2 linked regions of the Coturnix japonica genome follow. The protein of the gene in region 2 purifies or fractionates together with the protein of the main gene of each other region. This does not show direct contact. Links are inferred from orthologs where the notes say so. Each region holds a gene or a part of one and is shown on either strand. Other genes may lie near its edges. The genes, in order: SMC4 and NCAPD3.

Region 1 (11,455 bases), on a different chromosome or scaffold from region 2:
TGCTATTAGAACGCTACTGTAGCTCTGATTGAAGAAAAGCACGTACCAATCAAGAATGGAAACTGAGTTATAAGGTGGAACGGCAGCCAAAACTGATGAAGCACAAGGCAAACTTCACTTAACATCACCGTAAGGTTTAGAATTTCACATCTTACTTTAGAGAACGAAGGTGTATTTCAGTTTCTCCCTTAAAATGCAAAGCATTCCTTCCAGGCAAGGGGAACATGGACAAGAGACTGTCCAAGTATTTCACCAGTCTGCTACAGGAGTCAGAAATAACTGCACGGGGCTTCTCAGCACAAGAAGCAACGGCACACTGTGTGAAGCTGATAACACTATGGATTTATTTGCGGGAGAAGCTGCCTTAGAACATTTAGAATGTTTGCTATAAAACCTGTATTTCTAAAGAGTCAGTTTCCAGGATATTCCTGTCCGTGTTATTTCTCTGGGCTTTTATTCTAACCTTGAAATTAGCATCAGAACAAGCAACAATACTGAACTACTGCCACCAAGGTTCAGGTGCTTCTGTTGCACAGCTCCAGTGCTGCATGGTTGGTTGGCAAACATGAAGAAGAGAAAGTATCAAATTCTCACCTTCACTCTCTACCTTCAAAGATTAGCGATATAAAATAGGGGAGAAATCAAGAAAGGCAAGTAAGTAATAAGCACAAATACACAAGTCTACAATGCCTCTACTACCCAAAGATGAAGGCAAACTCACAGCCTGTTACACAACACTCAGTTGTTTGCACAGAACTACTGTTCTGCATTCTGGAAATCATTTCAAAGTAGCCTTTGTCAAGCTGTTCACACATCTGTCTAATTTTAGAAGCTTTCTTAAGGACATTCTTGTATTTAATACAAGAATACAAATTGAGTGCAAGTCTAGAGTCGCTTTGGAATCAACATCAGTTACCGGGAATCCAACCTACAGTGTTTGACTGTTATAAGATTCTTGCCATGTTCTACCTCAAACTTAACCCAGCACTCAGTTACATTGGATAAGTGCATTTTACATCCTCTTCCCATATTTTCCTATTTTTCTGGAAAAAAAAAAACAAAAACAAAAAACATTGCTTATGACGCTGCACTGGAATTTGTAAAATAAAAATCACATTAATTGCCAAGAAATTCTGACAGCAAAGAATTCGCTTTGAAATCGCATGTACTGAAGTCTTAGCATGTCTCTTGCAGCTCCATATTCACTTCAGTATCAAGTATTTTAACCAAGGAAGTGATTCTGTACTCTGAATCAAATGTAAAGCTTCCACTTTTACATACTATTTTATTCAAATGACACTTTTAGTTGATTACACTGGTTCTAATTCTTCCTACCTCTTCAGCTCAGCTGCCCTTGAAATTTCTAGAACAAAACTCTCTTCACCACTTTTGGCAGCATTGATCTCCATTTATAAATCCCAGTAGAGCTTTTTTAGCTCGTGCTCTATTTGGATGCTCCAGCTCAGATGTTGGTGTGCCTCATTAGGAGAGCAGCCCTCAACCATCGGGAACTTCTGGCTTATCTCAAAGCAAGAAGAAAATCTGCTCCCCCCCACTTCCTTCCCTGCACACTGAAGGAGTGACTCCTATGTTTCCACAAAGCAGCAGGAGAAAACCTTGACTAAATTTCCTCTCCTGCAGCATAATCTTGCCACAAGACAAGACCGATCTGTGCATTAAATGCTGCTGTCCCAATCAGTTTAAAAATAAAAAAAAATCATACATGAAATCACTGCAGCTATTCACACTTGCATCAGATTACATGAGAAATTTTTAATTGTCTGTCAAATACATTTAAATAACACTAATCAGCACAAGAAAAAATAGTTTGAAAAAACAGGTTCAGGTTGATTTCAGTTCATAAAAGTCTGCTTCTATTTAGTAGAAAACAAATTCAGGTTTTCTAATTCTTAGTATTGTTTCTGCAATGTTCATCCATATGGGCACTGCTTGCAAAATTCCATTTTCTGTTTACAAAGTTGATATTAACTGAACTCCTCTTACCTTGAAAGATAACAAAGCCAATTTCAGCAGGTGGTAGCAGTTGCTGTCTGGTTTGTTTCGCTCCCCAGACCTCCTGCCCCATGGGTGTCCTTAACTGACATCCCCTCAATCTCTCCCCATTAGTTTAATAATTCCTTAGGGACAACCAGCTACAAGAGAGAGGCTGGGATTTCTTTCTGGCCTCGAGGTTGGCCTCTTCAGAGGACTCACTATTGAGCAACAGCAAACACACTTACCTTCAGAGCCCTGCTCAACCTGGCTGGGCAAACCTACCCAAGCTTTCTGTGTATAGACATTGATGTTCCAAATATTAAAAAAAAAAAAAAAAAAAAAAGCTAAATTAATAATTTTATTTGTTCTTCTTTACAGATAAACGAGTTACTCAAGTGTGGAAGGCAGGAACCGATAGCAGTAAGATGACAGATATCACAGATATTAGCACAATGCTCAGCATACTTAAAAAACAAAGATGCATTTTTTTTTCCTGTTGCAGTTTCAGGCTGTGGCAGCCTCATTAGCAGTGCACCACACAGTTTTCTGTTCCCTAAGTGCTAAAAAGCATATAGCAATTTATTAAAAACAAAATACACAGCAATACAACTTAAGCATTGCAGAAGTGACAAACTCCTCCTGTTAATTGTTGGCAGCAACACACAGTAACCAAACCCATTCCTTTAAAACAAGATTTTTTTCCAATTAACTAATTCAGGCACAGAATTTCTAACATTTCTAGAACTGCCCAATATCATTGTTTTCCCACAGGCATTTCTGGTGCTGTTACTCAGCAAAATCAACTGGTTGATTCCAAGATTCTCAGGATGGCATCACAAGTACCTGCTCCACTCTCTACTCAACTCGCAGAACAAATGGTTCTGGCCCAAGCTTTCAGAGTGGCACCCAGATGCACCCAGTGAGCCACGTGAGAGACTGCAGAGCAAGGTGGAGAAAAGAAAGAAAAGCAAAAAGAAAGCAGCCTTCTGAAATGCAAGTATTTGCTATTGAATAATGCTAAGTGTGGCAGCAGGGCACTAACCAAGTATCTCAGAGTGCTACTTATAGGACTTGTTCTCTTACAGCATTTCCTTTAGTGTTAGAGAATGCTTTCTCACAGACTGAAAACAGCATTTGATAACAAATGTATGTTAATTACACCCAAACGAAAGTCAAAAACCAAAGAGGTGCGATTTATTTTCAAAGTGAAATTATTTGAGCTCAATATGCTCAAAAAATACAACTTGAGAGAAGCAAAAGTGAAATAGAACTGTCACTTATTGCTCAGACTGGAAATAATGTAATTTGAAAAGGAGTAGGGAAAAGGGGCAATCCCTGTGATAGCAGCAGGCAGCCTTGGCTTCCTGGTATGGCCTTGTTTACTTCTATCATTTTTACTACTTGGGCTTCGATGTTTTTCTGTCACTGTGCAGAAATAGTCACATTTTCCAGATGGAAATTACTAGTTTTCCATTGCCTGATGAATAGAATTCACTTAAAAAATAGATTATTTAATAATAATAAAAATCACACAGCCACATGCTCAAGGAGTCACACCAAATAAACAGAAAATCTCTCTGGAGTTTCCTTACAGTTCATTGTAACACATTATCCACAAAGTTCAGAGCAAAGAAAGGATAAAAAAAATGGTGGGAAGCATCACTTTGTGTCTTAACATCACTCGTATCAGCCCTGATTTCCCATTATACAGATGAAAAGCATGAAACTCGAGCTTTTAGGAACAAGTATGTCCTCCCCATGGGAAACAATTAATAGAAGAAGAAAACAAACCACATTTGGGGAGAAAAGTAAAAACTAAAACAGCCATTTAGCAGCAGTCCCTGTGAAACGCTGCCTTCCCCTCCCAGAGCAGAAGGGCACTGCAGCACTCAGCTTGGGATGCTTCTGCACCATCATTTCTACCATATTTGACTGCAGTTTTTCTCTTTTTAACAATGTTCCTAAAATGATTTTTCTGAATAACAACTTTATTATAACTAATATATATTACCAATAGTTTTATTGGAGATACTTCTCACTTGAAAACCAAAAAACACAAGAAGAAAGTGCTGAATGGAATAATTAATTGGCACAAATACTTCAAAAACAGATATATCCTCTTTTTGTGGGTGTAACTGTAAGAAGCAGACTTGAGGAAGTGAAGCAAACACAGCTACCTATCTCAAATATTTGCCTTTTTGTGTTAGAGGGGAACTGGAAGCTCCTTTGACAAAAACAGTCTTAAAATCATCTCTGTTGCAAACTGTCAGATCTCAGGAGGCTTCCACTGCTCACTCATTTTCTAGGCCAAAATCCTTCAGAACAGATTTGTGACATTCTTGTAATAGCAGTGAAATAATTATGGGTAATTGCAGATGTGTGTACCCCATGGACCCTTTAAGTGTGTCCATCAAGTACTTTAACTCAGTTCACATCTAAAGTGACTGGCTGGCACGAGTAAAATCCTCCATTTTTATTTAAGCACTAGAAAAGTGTGTTTGCCTTCAGCCTGTCTGTGTTTTACACAGCCAGCACACACCAGCAAGCTTTAGAACTTTAAACCCCAATGTGAGAAGAAATGATATCATATTCACAGACTCTATTATTTTTATAGCATGAGCTGTAAAAACTGCAGCTTTTTAATATGCACCTTGAATTGGCTACAAACCTGCTGTGCTTTGAGTCCCCTGCAGTTGTTAAACGAGTGTAAATGAGAAGTAAATGGGTTTTTTCTTGCCTTCAATTTTATACAGTTATTTTTAATATACATACTTCTGCAGTAAAACCACGTCTATAGATGAGAACTGTAGATAACTTAATAGTAGTATCATTAAGTTAATATTGATGCACCTTTATCTAAAGTATAAACAAGTTGCTGAATCTCTGCCACGCTTAAGCAGCACAATAATATTGGGGTTTAAGGTTTATTTTACTACACCAATATTTACGTGCTGCTAGGGCGGAACAAGTATCACAACTCTTCTATTCATCCACATGTCAGGAGCACTGATTCATTAACAGAAAAATTTATATTAGTGTCTTCAACTGTTTATCTTCCTTAAATTTCTAAAGCAGCAAATAATGATTCGCATCTTCACTACAGCATGCAAACCATGATGTGCTGCTAGAGTACTTTAAGGCCTCACAACTAAACAGCATTTTGGTAACTACACCTGGAAATACAGCTTTAATAAAAACAGGTTTTATTCACACACCAACCTGTAAAATCAAGAATCTGTTATGGTCCAGGTCGATTCCGTGACTTCGCAGAAGAATACCAACATCTTTGAATGTTGACTTCTTTCCATTGATGTGGTATACTGAAGAATTATCTCTAAAGGCAGTTCTAGATACACAAAAATTGCTGTTAGGAATGACTTCATAATCATCTCCTTCCTGTTATGAGGAAAAACAAAGCCAGAAATACAATTAGTATCTCGTAGGTTCACCTCACATTTCACCATTTTACCAGTTAAGGTTTTAAATCAGGATCCACTTAAATGATGTGCACCTCAAAAAAAAAAAATTCAGCTCTAGACCAAAAAAAAAGAAAAAGCCTAAATCTGCATGATCCTCATGTGCTGCATCCCTCATCTCTAATACCAGCTTTTGCTTTAAAAATACTTAATTTCTTCTCTTTACCAGGGCTGCACATCACAAAAGACCTACTTCAGCTTTAAAGTGGCTGTTGTATCCTGCCCTTTCAATTTTAGATCAGGAAGCTTTGAATGATTTGCTACTGTCTGCAATTAAGCTCCCTCTTTATAGTGCTAGAAAGCTGCTTTTTGCTGAGTAGTTCTAAAAAGAAACTGCAGGAGATAAAAAAGCAAAATATTAAAGATGTGACAAACATGAGGTCATCAGCTTCAAAACATCACTTCGACTTCACTAAAAAGCAGCAACTGCAGTAAAGCTGGGACTCATTGTAAGCAGTTAGAGCCGAGCCCTGCTCCTTGTAAAGCCTTCAGCTGGCCTCTGCTTTGCCAGGCCCATCCCAGAGCACCATCTGACCAGGTAACACTCACAGGGTTTTTACATCACAAATGCAGCTTCTAGGTGCTCATACAGAGAACAGCAGAAAAAGAAAACTAAATAATCCCTGAATGTGGCTGACACAGACAGAAGCAAAAAGCACAGGTCTGTGCAGATCGAGTCAAAGAAAATTGACCTAAAGCAGGTCTGTAACTGACTGTCCCCTCATTAGCACAGGTTCTGATGCTTTGGTGTACACCTTTCCCACCATACTGACTAACCTGACATTCAGTGAGGCACTTCAGCCAGACTAAATGCTCACAGAAATTCTATTTAAATAAAGTAAAATCAATTTCTAGTACTGGAATGGCAATAAGTCAACAGCACAGCCCAGACGTTTGTACCCATACATGAAATGACAAGCAACACAATTTTATTGCATTTTTTTTTCCAGCGTTGTCAGCACTTTCTATTTCATTCAAACACGATATCAGCCAGAGGGTGTAAAACCCAGAAATTCTATTGAAAACCTGCTTTTGAATTGCAGGCCCATTTATTGTCCATTAAGTGTTCCAGATTGGTTTTATATTTAATGAATTTTTTAAAATAGCTTCTAATTGGTTTGGAAGCTTTTACTCCAATAGTTTTTACACCTGAATCCATATGCTCATATTATAAATGCACACATATATAACACATCCGAATGTAGCCTCAGAAGTGATTCGAGGTGCTGTTAATTTCAGAAATAAGCTTTATTTACTTGAGGGCAAAGAACCAACAAATGTACAACGACTTCTGAAAATGACAGTTAGGTGAGTGTGAGCAGCTCCAAAACACTGCACAGCAGACACTGCTCTCACAGAGCAGCCCACGAGCCCCTGCTCATATTGTAAGAGCTGCACTACTGAGAGGAGCATTTTTAAGCTAATTAACTTCAAATTGGTGCTTTACATCCCAAGGGTAAACCTTGCCACCACGCCTTCCCCAGCTCAAACTAATCGAATATTAAGTTGTCAAACGCTTGAATAAAGCAAGCGCCGCTCTGCAGAGCAGGATACATGGATACATACCTTGTCAATGATCTTTTGGAAGTGGATTTCCACAGAACAGCTCTGGATGTCCATATGTTCCTCAGATTTATGGATCAACACAGACAGTTTTTTGGATCTGATTTTCTGTGCTCGATACCCAAACACAAAAAGCATCGCATCAATGACATTGGATTTCCCACTGCCATTGGGCCCAATAATGCATGAAAAACGCTGCAGAACAGAAGGAAAAAAGGTGTCGGGTGGAGGGAAATAGATCCTGGGCTGTGCACATCACCCACTGCATTTGTACATAGTTCCAAACAGAATTACTTCTAGTGCAGGAAACTGCAGCTCATTTGGTAGCTTAATCTTCACAACCAAAGGCAGAGCAGCACAGCTTATTTAAGAGAACAACACCTCCACTCAGCTCAGCTTTCTAAATCATAACTTGTGAACTCAAAGCGATACTGCTCTTAGCAAGCAAGTTCGCAAGGAAAGTTTCATGATTAGCCACGTAAATCCCTTGTGGGCACTAAAAACATTCTCATTCTTCAAACGTGCTCCTCCAAATTCCCCAGCAAACGAAATCAAGGCAGCAATGTCCTTTTTCACAGGCTTTCTGACAAATTACAATTGTACACAATCAAGAATTTGCACTTTGCTGTTTTCCTACTGCTCAGCAACTAAAAGGAAGGACATCGCCACCAAAACAATTCTCAGACCTCAATATTGCTCAGCTTTTCTGAGGTGAGGTTATGTGAAACTACAGGAAGGGCCACCAGCGCACAGCAAAGCCTTACCTGCACTTAGAGAGCGCTTAAGGGATAAGAAAATTACCTTATGAAAAGGTCCCAGAGTTTGCTGCCCTGCATAGGATTTGAAGTTCTGGTTTACAATGTGAGTTATCATGAGACGAGGAGCACCAGCTTCATTGGTCATTGCTGGAGGAGGGGGAGGAGGGATGCTACCCAAAATCTCTTCTAAACTCCGATTATCAGACTCCTCGTTTGAGACTTCTAAAAACCATCCAAAATAAGCAGAAAGAAAATTAAGGCCATAAGCACTCAATGACCAAACACCTTTTACAGTGCTCCATTTCAAAAGCAGACATCATTTCCATAATAACCAAAGCTACACTTCTGCAGTTATTAAAAGGAGTTAAGTGGAATTAAAATCCTTCTTTCCACGAACTGAATCTTTAAAAAAGAGACACTTAAGACGTCCCATCGATTCACCAGTGGGTTTGTTCTTTCATTATGCAATCCTTATTCTAACACACTTTAATAGGCACTCCGCAATTACAATAGCTACAGCCGTCACAATAAGGCTACAAATCTGAAACAGGCAAAGTCTTCCTAATTAATAAGTGCAAAGCCACATTTCAAGCGTGCTCACAAGTCACTCCGCAAGATTTGGGGCTCGCTGCACAATGCTCTAAAGCTGTAATGACAGCACGACTGCTCTGCAAAGACAGGAAGTTTGTTACGAAAACAAACTGGCCCCCTGGATATCTGCTCGTTACAAGCAAAGCAGCTTTTCAACAGTTACCAGCAGCTTTTCCCTCACACAGACAGGAGGTTTTGACACCAATTTCAGTTTATCAATCCATTTGTCAAATATCTGTGCTGTGAGCTTTCAGTCGTTCCTGTCTCGTTACCCTAAAAGACACACGCTGCTCTTTTTGCAGATACTCTCAGCAAAAACTCAACCCCAGAACCACAAGACAATGCTCTGCTTCATGAAAAGGAAAGTCCAATCGTTTTAAGAGTTAAACAAATAAACGTGACATTTATTCCATTCCAAGAAATCTCAGAGCATTGGCTGCGTCTAAGTGTGAAAAATCCTGGCTCTTGTACCACCACCCGGTACAGATCAGGGACATGAAATAGGCTTTATTAGAAGAAAATTCACTAATTGCTTTTGCACTTACACTCGGTCACAAGTCCCAGCGCTAACTCTTTGCAAACCACTTTAAAAGCAGTTTGAACACGTCAGGAGTCAGAGCTTTCAACCTTCCTTTCTAGACGAGAGCAGAGCGAGTCCAATGTGGAATAGTCGGCAGCTCCAGCTGAGCTCTGCTGCTCTGTGCACCAGGTTTAAGGCATCAGGAGCACAGTGCTCCCACCTACCTTCAGCTGCTCCTTCCCCAGGATGCCCGTCGTCTTGTTTGTCCACTTGCATGTCACCGTTGTGCTCCTCTACGTGCTGTCTGCCTTTCTGCTGTGCTGCTGTGGAGTTTTTGGTGCTCCTGCTCGCCATGATCTCGGCTGCTCCCCGGCAATTCCAAGCAATCGAACTACCGAAGGGATCTCACTCTAACATAAACAAGAAAACCCCACCAACTCTGCATTAAACTCCAGTCCCCTACAGAATACACCTACGAGTCCAACTAACGCAGAAACGAGAGACCAGATGCGTTTTGAAGACAAAAAAAACCCCCAAAGCTGAAACAAAAACTACGGCTGAAAGTAATAAACGCATCGCCCCAAAAAACAACGGACCCGCCCTGATCTGCAGACACAGCCGTGCACCTCCTGACGCCGATGGGGTTTGCACACTCACAAAGTGGCCCATGTTGGAAGGGACCTCAATGATCACAAAGCTCCAACCCCCCCGGCACACACAGAGCCACCAGCTCCCTATTGGGGAGAGCAGCGGTGACACCAGGGGCCAAAGAGTTAACGACGATGGCAGGAGTCAAGCGGGGAGCCCCATGTCCGCGCTCTGTCCATGCAGCGTTCAGTCCCGACACACGCTTTGCTCCCAGCTCTCCATGCTGAGCGTACGGACACACAAACAAAAAGACCTGCGTAGTTCAGAGCGTTTCACCCTCCGACAGCTCCCCTCAATAATACGCTCCTTTGGTGAGACGCAGCGCAGCCCCGACTGCCGGCAATCGGCACCTAACAGCAGAGCAACGCGAAAATACCTTCATCCCGTGCTGCTGTTAAAGCTATTGAGCAGGGACGGAGCGCACGTTAGTCCACACGTTGATCCAACACGGCTCCCACCGAACGGCAAAGGGAAAGAGAGCGGAGGGAGGGAAACTCCAAAGAGTTTAAATCGCAGCAAGTGGGGAAGGCGGTTTGTGGAGCAACAGACACGAGAAAGTTGACTTCAAGGCAGATAAAACAAAACTGACGTGGTTAGAAAGTCATCTCACAATTGGTGCCAATCATTTGACGTTTGCAGACCTACCCCCAGCCCACACTCTCATGAGAGTCCTTCATTTGGGATAATGGGGGAGGGGAGGAAAACGAGAAAGAGAACTAAGAGAACTAAGAGAACTAAGAGAACTCGTTTAGAAGCGCTCGCAGCCCGTGCTGCCGTTACGGACCGTCCCACAGGGCTGTGCCGGGGCAGCCGCAGCCTGTCCCGGTACCGGGCCGTATTTTAGCGCAGCACAGCGCGGCTCATGCCCGGCATCGCGGGGAGGGGGAGAGGCAGCGGCGTGCAGGAAGCCGCCCTTATCGCAACCCCTCGGCAGCGATAACCGATGTCAGCGAGAAAATCTCCCTCTGCCCGCTCCCCCCCTCACCCCCCGCCGGGTACCCGTTCCGTACGGTTCGGCTCTCGCCCTGCGAGGGTCAGAGCTGCGGGCGGAGCTCACAGAGCGGGCGCGGCGAGAGCAGCCCGGGAACGGCCCGGCCACACGGACAGCGGGACCGGGAAGGAGCGGCCGCCGCCTCGCGCTGCTTCAGGGCGGGGAGAGAAGGGAACAACGCGGCTCCACGCGGCGCCCCCCGCCCCGACCGCTCACCTCTGGCACGGGGTGAAGCTCCGCTCCGCTCTGCTCCGTTCTGCTCCTCGTGCCGCCCGCCCGTCCCGCCGTATGGGGTAAGTCCCGGCCGCCCCGTGCCGAAGCTCCGCGCTCAATGCGGACGGGCGGCTCGGAGCCCCGCGGGCGGCGGTGGGCACGGCTCACACGGCTCGTACCGCTCACACCGCTCACACCGCGGGTTCTACACTCGAAAATGGCGCCCAAACGGCGAAATCGAACCGAAATTCGTTAGAAAGGCGCGGGGCAGGATGGGGCGGCGCGGGGCGGGGCGGGAGCGGGTTTGAAAGGAGGAAAAGCCGCGCCGGGCGCCATCTTGTCGGCCGTTAGAGCGGCGGGGAGTGAGGGGAGGATGGAGCGGGGATAGAGCGGCTGTAACGCGAGTTAACGCTGAGCGCGGGGCCGTGCGGGGATGATGGAGGGACGGGCTGCGGGTCGGCAGCGACTGCGGGAAGGGATTCATCCCTTCGGTACAGAACTAGGTCAGGGGGCGGCGCTTGGGCGCCCAGGGGGACGGCACGACAGAGAGCTCCGCCAAAAATACAAAACAAAAAAAGGAAAACAAAAAGTCCACGAAAAACATTTAAAAAGTGTTTGAACGCGTGTATAAATAAAGTGAAAACGGGGCTCGCTTTGAAATGAGCGCTCGTTAACGGGCGGTGCGGTGACGCGATGTCAC
Region 2 (11,455 bases):
GAATGCAGATGCAAAGAAAAAGGCTACCAATGAAATAGCAGCGTGTTCCACAGCTAGAATTCAAGGAACAAGATGCTGCAATGCCACCACCTACTGGAAAGATATTTTTGCATATTAAAAAAAGAAGAGCAGGCTTGAATATGCAACTTGTAAGCAATGATGGGTTGACAGCCCTGGGAAGACCAAACTTAAGTTTGGATGTTCCAGGCAGAAAGTTGTCCAAGTCTCATTGGCACCCAGCATCATCACAACCTTCCATCCTTGGAGGAAAATGCCTCTCATTTCCCCTAAAGCAAAGCAGCTTCAGACTTGGAAACACAAAAAAACTTCACGCATGTGTACTTATGATCAGTGTGAGCGATTCTCCTGCTATGTCAAAGTACTACAGAATGTGGCAGAAAGCTTAAAAAGGCCAAGCATAAAGAACAGAGTACATCTGTGCTCCTCAACACCTCCAGTATTTTACAGATGAGTATTTTACCTGGCAATATCTGGATTTGGATCCACCAAGACACTAATGAAACGGAAGAAGAGACAGTCCTTCCATTTCACAAACTCCTCCTAGAAGAAAAGGACAGATGATAAGTAAGGAACAAGGAAAAACCTCACATGAGGCTTCACAGAGCAGCCAGGGCAGTATCTGATGGAGCCTGCCAGAACATACATCGAAAAATAAACAAGCTATACAACTTCACCACTATGTACAGAAAATAAACCTCAAAAAGACAGTTCTAGGAGATGCTTGAAGCAGAATAAGCACACAGCATCCAGGTTCACCAATAAAAAAGCAGAATCAAGAAAAATCTGCTTTCCAGTGCCAAAGGCACAGATGCTCCTCAACGCTGTTGTGAGAGCCAAACACACTCCAAATCTGCTTTGTTTGGCTTCACGTGAACACCGGAGGGGCAAATATTGTCAGCCTCTCCACTTCCACAACTTTAAAACAATAAGCAGATGTGGAGGGAAAAGGTGCTGTGGTGCTTAGTACATTCATTCATATAGGAGCAAAATGGAAGGGGATTCACAGAAACCAAGATAAGAGAACCACTGAATAAAAATAATCTTGTTATCCAGCTGTGCTGAGCATCATCAATGTTTGCCCACCTTGAGAAATAGTAACAAAATGCATGTTTGAAGCCTTCATAAGTTAAGAAACATTACAGCTATGCTCCAGAATCAAGTTGTAAGCAATAAGCTCTCGGTCAGTGCTTAGTACAACAGAAGGGGACTTCTGTTTACCTGCAGAAGGTTGGTAATCATAATCAATGTCTGCTTCCGAATGAAGGGATATGGGTCCTTCAGGCACAAGGAAATGTTGGGGATGTATCTGTCCACCATGGTGGTGTAGCGGATACAAAGGTCACACATAACAATGACGACGTTATTGCGAACAGCCACGTCGTGTGACACCTCCAGCTCTCGAGCTAGAGCTGCAATGCACTTCTTTGCCAGATCCTCATGCTGCAAACACAGTTTACCTGTGAAATAGAGATGAGACTGTCAGCGCTGTGAATATATTCCTAACCACCACAGCTCTGAGCCCAGGATGAGCCAAGAGAAGAATCGGGTAGTAAACAGGTGAATAAACAAGAAACATATGCTGAAACTTGATGAGCAATCTGCACCACCTCTCAAAGAAATTATACTTCAAGGAGTTCTTCCAAACTCTTTTTAGACCTATACTGTGGGCCTCTATGCCAAACTCCCTCCTTCACAGTGAACTATTCCTGTGTACGGGGTATTATTCAAAGCAGCTAAAAAGAACAGCCCCAGCTGTCATAGGCATCACAGGGAGACACCCACCTCTAGGAACATTACTAAACCAACTGAAAATAAAATAGCCTGCATTCTAACATTACTTCTTCCTAACTGTTTCTCAGCTCGGTACAAGAAATATTAAGGTTCCCAAAGCAGTTAATGAAAGAATGATTCTATCTGCAACAGATATAAGATTTGCTCATATATACAGTGGGGCTACAATACCCAAAGTTTCACTTAGCACACTTGTTTATACTGGAGTTGCAGATTTGATCAGGGTTCTATCACAAAGAAGCCCAGTCATTCATACTAAGGAGAACAAGTAACTACGTACAGAAATTCTGCTCTACGCTGCACCGAAAGCACCAGGTTTTCTTCATCCTCTGTTGAGCACCCTACTACAAATTAGAAGATCACTCAGCTAGACAGCAACCAATTCTGAGTACAAGGACAGCATATGCCTGAAGAGTACTATATAGGAAAAATGCATCAACAGACTTGAAAAACAGTCTCATAGACTTCTATGGTTTGTGCAACTTGTTACCATGGATATTTGCATTGCTAAGAAGCGAAACAAAACACTGAGTGCTGCATCTATCTGTTAGAGCTGACGTGGCCTTTGAGTAGAACATGAAGCAGAGAGCAGACAGGAAGGGTGGGAATTGGATATAAAGGGCACTCTTGCTGCAGGACGATGCTTACCAAGAGTGATGAATGCATGAGCTCTGATCACAGGAGGCATGGCTGATCCTCTGAACTGGGACAGTGGCTGAGAAGCCGGTATTTCCTCATCATCAGGAGGATTAGACACTAAGAAAGAATGGGTCAGGAAAGAAAAAGTGCTTTTTGGGTAACAGCACTGTTGATAAAAGGAGAATTAAAGGCAGAAGGGAAAGAGCCTCACGTTGATCAGAAGCCAGAATGGACTGGATCAAAAGAAAGATGCGTTTCTCCACTTTGGCTGGACACAGCTGAGCAGCCTCACCCAAGAGGAAGAGGTGCCTCACCTATAGAAAGAAAAAGCAACGCTGCAGACTAAATCTGCAGCTCAGCCACAGCCTTAAGTCAGCAGGACTTTCCTGTGTAACCATTACTGCCATGAACTTAACAGCCCCCTCATTTGGAGAAAATTCACATCCTTTGCCCAGCCCACAAAAGGGAACCAAACTTACCAAGAGATCTTCTTGCAACTGCTCTGCTCCGTCCTCTTTGAGAACTATATTTGAAATATAACTTTCACAAGTGGATATTAAGTCTCCAAACACTTGGTTGAGCAGTTTCTGTTCCACAATGAAACAAAATTAATCAGGCACTTTATTAACATCATGGCTAAGTTCCATTTAGCATCTGCACACATAAATCCCCAATTTGAAAATCCTTATATGCATACAATGTGTTGCTAACTGTGTGCTTGGGCCCATTAGAGAGGCCTTGAAAATACATGCATTAGCACCAGCTCTGGTGTAAAATAGCCTGAGCTTATAGTGAAAGCTTATAGCTTCTAATGGACCAACCCTCAGAAATAGCTGATAGTGCAGGTCTCATTTAGGAATGCAGTAAGTCAACAGACTTTAGTGGCTGGAGCTGGATCCTCTGTGCTCAGTGAGACAATCAAGCAACAGACTGGAGACAGAAGCTGCCTTCAAGAGTCAGTCCGTATACACATGAAACAAACTATTTTAAAAGGAGTATTTTAAGTCGCACCTGTGCCTTTGGGTCACCTGCATACGCACAGCAGAGCTTCTGCAGTGACTCCACAGCTGGGCTAATCACCTCCAGGGGACACTGAAACTCCTTCAGCCAGTGCTTGATGTTATCTGAAAAGGAGATGACACACATAGCATGGGGATTTGGTCGGCCAAGCAACCACTCACAGAGAATAACCCTTAGCTAGGAGATAAAACCAAACTGTACTTTCTACTCTGCAGTTTCTCAGGGCCACTCACCAATCAGTCTCTCACAGCTGCTTTTAGGGAGGTGCTTTGCAACATGACTGACAACAGACAGTATATGTCCTGTAGAATCATTGCTCGTGTTCTGTTGCCTGGAAAACAGCAGAGCAGACAAGCTAAAATTTATGCTTCGGAAAACCACCAACCACAGCAGAAAAATCCACGCATCTTGGCTACGCTCTATCAAGGCAGACTCATCAAACCAAATGAAAACTCAAAAAGCTCAATGTAAGACTTGATGGCTGCACAAATCTGTGGGTTATTGCTTACTTCCTAGCTACAGAACGTCGTTGCCTGACTAAAGAATGGTGATCTAAGCAGCACTATGTCTATGGAAGGACAGATAGGGCTCACTTCCTCATCCTCACCTCCATCTCTTCCCAGTAGAATAGAGGAGGTCAAAGCACACATACCTGCTGACAGTGTACCAGGATTCGATGACCTTGGAATAATCCAGCTTGGGTGAAGAACTTGCCACCTTAGCAAGCAACATCCAAGCTGGTACAGCATGCTCTGTTTCCACGTGAGACATCACGTTATTGATGAAAGTAGAAGAGAATTTTTTCTGCCGGGACCAAATATGAAAAGCTTTGTTCATATAACAGCTACAAGGAAGAAAGAAAAGAAAGCATGATAAACAAGGAGCAAACAAAACTCCTGGGGTCGTGGAGACCACTAGCAAAATCCAACATCTGCCCAGAACATGCTGTGAAGAACAGGGGTGCTATGACTTCACCTGCCTTCTACCCAGAGTAGATAGGATTTCTGCTATGTGTTTTATTGTTGGTCACTCTTTCTGTTAGAGTTCAGATGGCTGCAGTGCTGATCAGTCCTGATGCACTACAGACCTGGAGTTAACGTGTCTGTCAGACAGAGGAACCTGAATCAGAACAAGCCCAGAAGATACTTCAACAACAACCAAAGATTTGTACCAAAGACAGTTTCAAAAAGACAATAGCAGTTTCTATTTAACATCCTTAATGGGACAGCACTGGTTGCATCCTTCTGTTTAACTCTAGCTACCCATTTCACATGGACAGATTTATTCTGAGATATATCAAGCTGCAAGGTACTTCGAGGTCACCAAGTAAAGGTGCCATGAATCTTCAAACTGTGTCATAAAACAGCCCAAATTAGAACACTGACAGTTTTACAGATTGCAAGGCAGCACAACCAGTATCTCATTTTCTATTTCTGAGCTATTATGCCCTGTTGACTAATAAACATACAGCCGGCTTTAATCAATGTTGCGTCCTTGTCATACTGTATTAGCCCATTTCTTCTGCTTCATCCCACAACATTCTGCAAAAGGCAGAATCATTCTATTTGTCATAAGACAAGTAACATATTGTACACCAGAAATAATAAGATCTTCTCCCTTCCTATAGCCTCTCTTACTTCTGTCATCACAACACCTCCATTTAACATTCATGCTGCTACCAGCGCATCAAGAACAGCAAGTGACATTCCTGTGTATGAACACCAGGGTTTGGAGAGACTGCACAGGTAACAAGAAGAGCAAATCAAAACACTCAACACAAAACAAAACTGTGCTCTTCTCACCAACTGCTGGTGTATATGTTTGACAGCTCCTCTGTCCTACGAACTGGCAGAGCAACACAGGCAGCTCACAGCATGACAGCTGCCATCTCTAGAGCAATGTGTGCTTTCATTGTCTGCTTTGAGCAGAGAGTTCAAATAGCTTAAAAAAACACCCAATACATTCAGTTTTTTGCCCCTGTGCAATAGGTGGTACATGCATTTCAACTGTGGCACTTATTGTTCTGTGGTCACACAGAGGATGGGAAAGCTGAGAACATAAGCCCATGCTTGTATCTTAGTCCTCCGGTCACTAAGCCATTTCCTACCGTAAAGGAAAAGCTGCATGTTTTAATCCTATTAGAAGTTTAATAAAATAATCTGGATTTTGTCCACGAATGCCAAGATAATAAAGGCAACAAAGAGATCCAGTGCACTGGACAAAGGAGTGTTTTGGAAACACCAGAAGAGCCCACAATGAAGGACAGCCACATTTACCTCAGCTCCTGGCTTTCCGAAGTCAGCAGCGTAAGGAGATCCCATGCCAGCACCTGCTTCTTGTCTTCCCTCCTGAATTTACTGTAATGCTTTATGTGCTGCAACAAAACCTGATCAAGGCATTCCAAGGCCTTTTCTTGAACAGAAGTTTCAGAGTCCATTACAACAGGCACAACTCCAGTCAACCAAGCCTTGTGCACCAGGACATCATCGTGCTGGACCTGAGAGAAACACACTGTATTAGAAACATCTCCTTTAGTTATGATGTGGTCCTACAAGCACAGATAAGACCAACGAAAGCCTAGAAACCTTGAGATTCATTTGTTAACTTGTAAAATAAGTTACAATTAGCTCACTGCTCAACTGACAGCAGAAAGTACAGTACTCTGACCAAACTACCTGGGCTAAAGCAATGCAATAGTTTGTTTTGAAACTCTATAAATAATTATGAGAGTATTGCAATAAAACTGTAATGCAGATGATTTAAGACTAAAACAAGAGGGTTTTGATTAATACAAACCTTATGCTCCATGACTAAGTTACCAAACCTTTGAGAATAAATAGAAGAGAAGGAAAAACATTACAGTGGCATCATGAACATGCTGTATCACAGCAAAATGATTCAGGTTCTCAAATTTCAGAAGGACAGCAACATAAACATCCCTTCCATGACACATAAAACCAACAGGCAGGGAAAAGAAAAGCATTTCCAGCAGTTGAAAGCATCCCACATAAATGGCAAGTATGTGCAAGTCACTGATTGCAAGTCAAGAGATGATTAAAACAAATAAAGAGCACAGTCATAAGTGATTTGCTGTGCCCTCATCCTCTTAAACCAACATTTCAGCCATAAGAATTGGTGTTGTTCATTTCCTCACCTCGAGGAGTTCTGTCACAGACTGCAAGGCCTGTTTCCGCACAGAGACTGCGGGGTCCCGGCAACGGTCCTGAAGAGTGGACAAATCTTCTGCAGTGCAAGGGATTGCTTTGTGCTTCAGGATGTTTGTAAAAACCTGCAGGTCAAAAAACAGCATGAGTTCATCGGGAATACGAGCCAGGATGCATGGGGAAATTAATCAGAAATAGATCAATCCCTAATTTAAGTCAACAGGGAATAGAATGTATCGCAATGAAAGGGAAACATAACATTAGTAATTTCTAAGTACCGGGCAGAACTTGATACAGAATGCTAAGAGAACTTCTCAGTCCTTCAGATTTTATAAGAGAATTCTGCATTGAGTCAATGCCACAACTCCCCCTTGAAGCCAATGTTTCTCTTGTTATGACCTACATCTTTCACCTGCCAATAAGAGGGAAAAGAATTGAAAACCTCACAACAAAACAGTCAGAAACCCTTAACCTGAGGTGTTCTCATCCTGATTTATCCTGGAGGGGAAGAACTAAGGGAAAGAGGACTAACAGGGAGAAAGGCAGTCAACAACAGATCCGTATCCTATAAAACAGTGAAATTCACATTGAAGAAGATACCTTTCAAAGTTCATGACTTAATTAATTAAAATGAAGCAAGCAGAAAAGCAGTGCATCCCTCAAAATGATGCCAGATATAGCCCAAACTCTTGCTAACAAGGTAGAAACAAAGCACCTCTTATGCCCCAGTTTGTAAGGAAGTCGCTTAAGTTAAATACCTATTGACATTTGGAAAGAGGCTCTTTCTCTAAATGATGGAATAAGTGAATGCCAGCAAAAGAGTACTAGAATGTTATTTCTTCCTTGCATTATTTACTTATCAAGAACTAGCAAAAATGACCTTTTTAAGGACTGAATGCACTCGGTGGGAATAGCAAGAAGCTACAGCTGGGCAAACTTACATACAGTTCACTGCAGTACTACAGCTCAATTATTTGTTCCAATGGCATTCTGTGTAATCATGCAGAACAAGAAATCATGCAAAGAACACCATACCTGGAGAGCAGATTTCCTCACAGTGGTTTTCTCATCTCCAGCTCTCAGCCTCAGCAGGGCCATGATTTCTTTTCCTATCCAAACCCAGGATAAAAAGAAGTTATAACACCCACCCAGACCTCCTCTGTATGCTTTGCAGAGCTCAGTTTGTTGCCCAAGGTTTTCAGGAGCAAGAGATGAGGGCTGAAAGCACAACAACAACTAACTGAAAGAATGTGGGTTCTCCTTTGCAGCTGCCATTCTGACAAGGGGAAGAAAAACCCAAAGTTCTTCTATCTTGAAAATAAATCATAGGACATAACACAAAATCTGGTGATATACCAAATCATTTCATACACAGAGCAAAAAGGAATAATCTGTAACTCCCAGTTCTTTTATTTCTGTATATAAAAGGTATCAGGCTGCCTTCAAAGCTGGAAATTAAGTTTTCCTAAGGACATTTTGAACTTGCAAATACAGAAACCTGTTACTTTGAGAGATTCATCTGGAGATCTACCATGTTTCCATTAAGAGAAACAATTAGTCATTGGGAACCAATAAATATAGGGTCTAAAAGTAGGCTTTTTTTAATCAAATGAAGCTAAGGGATTTCAATCTGCATGACTAGTGCTTTCTTAGTAGGCAGGTAACTGCAACTGAGTCTTTCTCCTGAGAATAGCTTGACAGAAAAAGCACACAACCTTTTCTTTGCAAGACACTGCCAAGAGAACAGTCATGCTGCTATTGCAAAGGTAACCAAATCTGCTAAAGTGATCAACCTTGGCCAACTGTCATGGATTTCTATGCATAGTGGCATAGGGAAAAAAACAAACAAGCCCTGAGATCTAAATGGCTGAGAACTAGCAAGAGAAACTAGCAAGGGAATAGAGTGTTTATAGGCTGACAGGCACTGCATACTCTATAGAGTATACTTCACCCTGCAGATTATCCCTACCAGTCTTATCTTTGCCCTTGTGCATTTTGCAAGTTCTGAATATCCTCAGCAAAGATTTATTTTGCTTCTAAAAGACAAGCTGTTTGGTCTTCATAGAAGTGCAAAATTAGCACAGGCAGAAGCCAAACAAGTGTGTGCCAGACAGCTTTGCTAATGCACCTTGACTGGCTCTGAGAAGCCTGTTTTTTAGCTATCCTCTTGAGCCTCAGACAGCCCTTTTTGATCCAATCCTTTGCTTAATTTGTTTTGCCAAGTGCCAAGCGGCTCAGCTGGTGTATCAGATAACAAAACCAGGCATCCTCTGCCACACAGAGCCTGCAACTGAACAGGGAATACACAATACCTTCAGTGGCCTGAGGATATTCTATCTTAGAGAGCAGATTAATGAAATTTATCAGCAAAATGTTTTGAAAGAAAGCTTTCAATAGAGAAGATAGGAGCCTGGTTCATGAAGATATGGAGGGATCCCACATGAAGAGCAGCATGAGAAGTGTAACAAAGACACAGAGGCAGGATGCGAGCTAAGCAGTAAATTGAATTGTCAGCAGTTCAAGAGAGGTGAATAGCAACAACTGAGAGCGAAGACACAGACAGAGGCCTAAATGTGAGGACTCCACATTGAAGAGGAAGAGATTCAATGAAATATCACAGCCACGAAAGCCAACTTTTGTGCTGATTTCATGCCATTAAGGAATCAGATCTAGCACACTGACGTTGCAAATCAGTCCATTTAACCTCCCACTTTGCTTTTAACATCAGCCAATACCTGGTGCTGCTGAGAATTAAATGCTTCCCTGCATAACAGTGCCAGTCAAAGGTGCTGTGTTTTATGCAGCAAAAATACATCCATTCTTTGTGCACTGAAGCAAGAGGTTTAATTACCCTTAAATCTATGGAGCTACAAGTACTGCATCCCACATCAATTAGCATCCTTTTGGGAAAGTATAAATTATCTGCTTTGCAATGAGTATTGCTACCACATTAATACAAATGAACACCAGCATTTCACAATTAAATGTATTTCCCAAATTTAAGTGGAAATGGCATTTCCATACAGCAAGCACTTCCACCCCTTCACCACCTGTGTTTTTTAACAGCTCTCCAGAAAGATCTCTCTGCTCTTTGAGAAATGGTCAGCGAACAAGATTCAGAAAACATAATTGTAATCGAAGTTCTGAAGAGCTATCTGAAAGGCTGCTGTAACTGTGACATACCATTCACCATGGCAGCACTGCTGCTGTTTGTCAGCTCAATCGTTTTGAAGCTTGGTAAGGTCTTCAGCGGATGGTTGGACGTAGCTGGAAGAAAAGTTAAAAGCTTAAGAACTGAGCATACATTCACTCCACGTGATTCACCATTAAATAGAGAGCTGCACACATGTCCCACGTTTTATGGATACACATATTTTTAGAAAGCAGCACGCCAAGAAAAGCCTGAGACTTATCATAAGAGAATGACTCCGCACCTTCTTCACTGAGCATCAAACTGGCACTGTTTGTGTTTGCATCCAAGGCTGCACGGTCATAGCCTGCCAAAAAGAAATTAAAACAGAAATTAAATGAATCGCTCCCATTCAGCACGTTCTGTCACTCTGATTTCTAGTTTGGCTTCTTTTTTTTTCTCCTAAGGCAAGTGATCCAACCACACAATGATGTGTGCACGCTTCTCAACTGTGCCATCTGGCCTCTACCAAACCCGAGGGAGTTCAGAATGCCAATCACGAAGATACGAATTTAGCAGAAGCAAAAGGCAACTCAGGATTTAATCAACCCTCAGACAAAAATTAACTTTTTTTTATTGTACAATTTCAGCTTCTCATACATCCGTTAAAGGTATCTCATGGAGTAATCTATTTAGAGCATGTACGCAAAATAACCACCCTCCAAGTGTAAGGCTACAAGTAAGACTCATCTATTACCTCCCTTACCAAAGGTGCTCTGTGCAGGTGTAAGGCTATAATGGGATGATAACAGCAGGGTGGCAAAGTCTTTGGCTACAGCAAACAAGAACAAGCCCAAATGTAGCAGCCATAAATGCAGAAATAAAGGAAAAGAGCAGCTTACCTTTGGAAGGCCTCAGGTAGGCAGGGATCACCAGCAAGAAATACCCTCACCTCCATTGCCAACCTTTAAATAAGGTCTGGGAAAGGGTAGAACCTGGTTCAACTCCTTCTAATCACTCAGGTGCATTGCATGTACCCCAGCTCCCCTGGGTCAGCCCTGCCTTCCCACCAGCTCCATCACTGTTTCAAGCCCTGACTTAGCACTTCTGCTACAGCATGCGTTACAGATCCTGACAACCAGTTCTACTATGTCCCAGCAATTATTCCCCAGACAATTCAAGTAATGCTTCAACCATGAAGTTTACTGACAGTACTTACTCTGTAACAAGTCCTGTATGCTATCCAAAGTAGCAGCAGCTTTCATTTCCAGACAGTGGGCAAAACTGCTTAGAGCTTTGCTACGAACTACAGGTGCTCTGTCTGAGCAGCGGCCAAGCACCATGACCTGCACTAAGAACTCGTGCTTCAGAAACTTCTGGTGATCCAGCGACACTGAGGAGTCCAGGTTTCTCTCAGGCATATCCAACAAAGCTAAAGCTACATCGAGTGCAAACACTCTGTAGGAAATCTGGAGAAATAAGCACACAAGACACTTTGTTAGTATAAAAACAGGCATGGATGTTACCTGCTCAGCCCACCTGCAATAACAGCACTATTCAAGACTGATTCTAAGCTCGCCATCTCCAAAGTATTGCTGTAGTCGAAGTGTGGGATGTTAAGGAGATGTACTTACTTTCGTGTGGAGTGAGTATTTATAAAGCCAAGCAATGAAGTCAGCAAGCTCCGTAC

What was found.
Region 1: the proteins of NCAPD3 (region 2) and SMC4 purify together in Homo sapiens (co-immunoprecipitation; 3 studies listed by BioGRID and IntAct, with this or other methods). This does not show direct contact. The link is inferred for Coturnix japonica from reciprocal best matches to the Homo sapiens genes NCAPD3 and SMC4.

The regions. Positions count from the first base shown.
Region 1 is NC_029524.1:19,694,117-19,705,571, forward strand, and holds the start of SMC4 (structural maintenance of chromosomes protein 4), read right to left. Parts: upstream 10,869-11,455; 5' UTR 10,759-10,868; exon of another isoform or gene 10,725-10,758; intron 10,663-10,724; exon of another isoform or gene 10,562-10,662; intron 10,290-10,561; exon of another isoform or gene 9,928-10,289; intron 9,314-9,927; 5' UTR 9,258-9,313; coding exon 9,128-9,257; intron 8,015-9,127; coding exon 7,836-8,014; intron 7,230-7,835; coding exon 7,038-7,229; intron 5,392-7,037; coding exon 5,215-5,391; intron 1-5,214. UniProt on the Homo sapiens protein: Central component of the condensin complex, a complex required for conversion of interphase chromatin into mitotic-like condense chromosomes.
Region 2 is NC_029539.1:2,124,814-2,136,268, forward strand, and holds part of NCAPD3 (condensin-2 complex subunit D3), read right to left. Parts: coding exon 11,400-11,455; intron 11,235-11,399; coding exon 10,985-11,234; intron 10,133-10,984; coding exon 10,070-10,132; intron 9,903-10,069; coding exon 9,819-9,902; intron 7,745-9,818; coding exon 7,671-7,744; intron 6,761-7,670; coding exon 6,626-6,760; intron 5,969-6,625; coding exon 5,748-5,968; intron 4,316-5,747; coding exon 4,124-4,315; intron 3,803-4,123; coding exon 3,705-3,802; intron 3,576-3,704; coding exon 3,463-3,575; intron 3,039-3,462; coding exon 2,931-3,038; intron 2,766-2,930; coding exon 2,663-2,765; intron 2,569-2,662; coding exon 2,461-2,568; intron 1,479-2,460; coding exon 1,240-1,478; intron 562-1,239; coding exon 482-561; intron 1-481.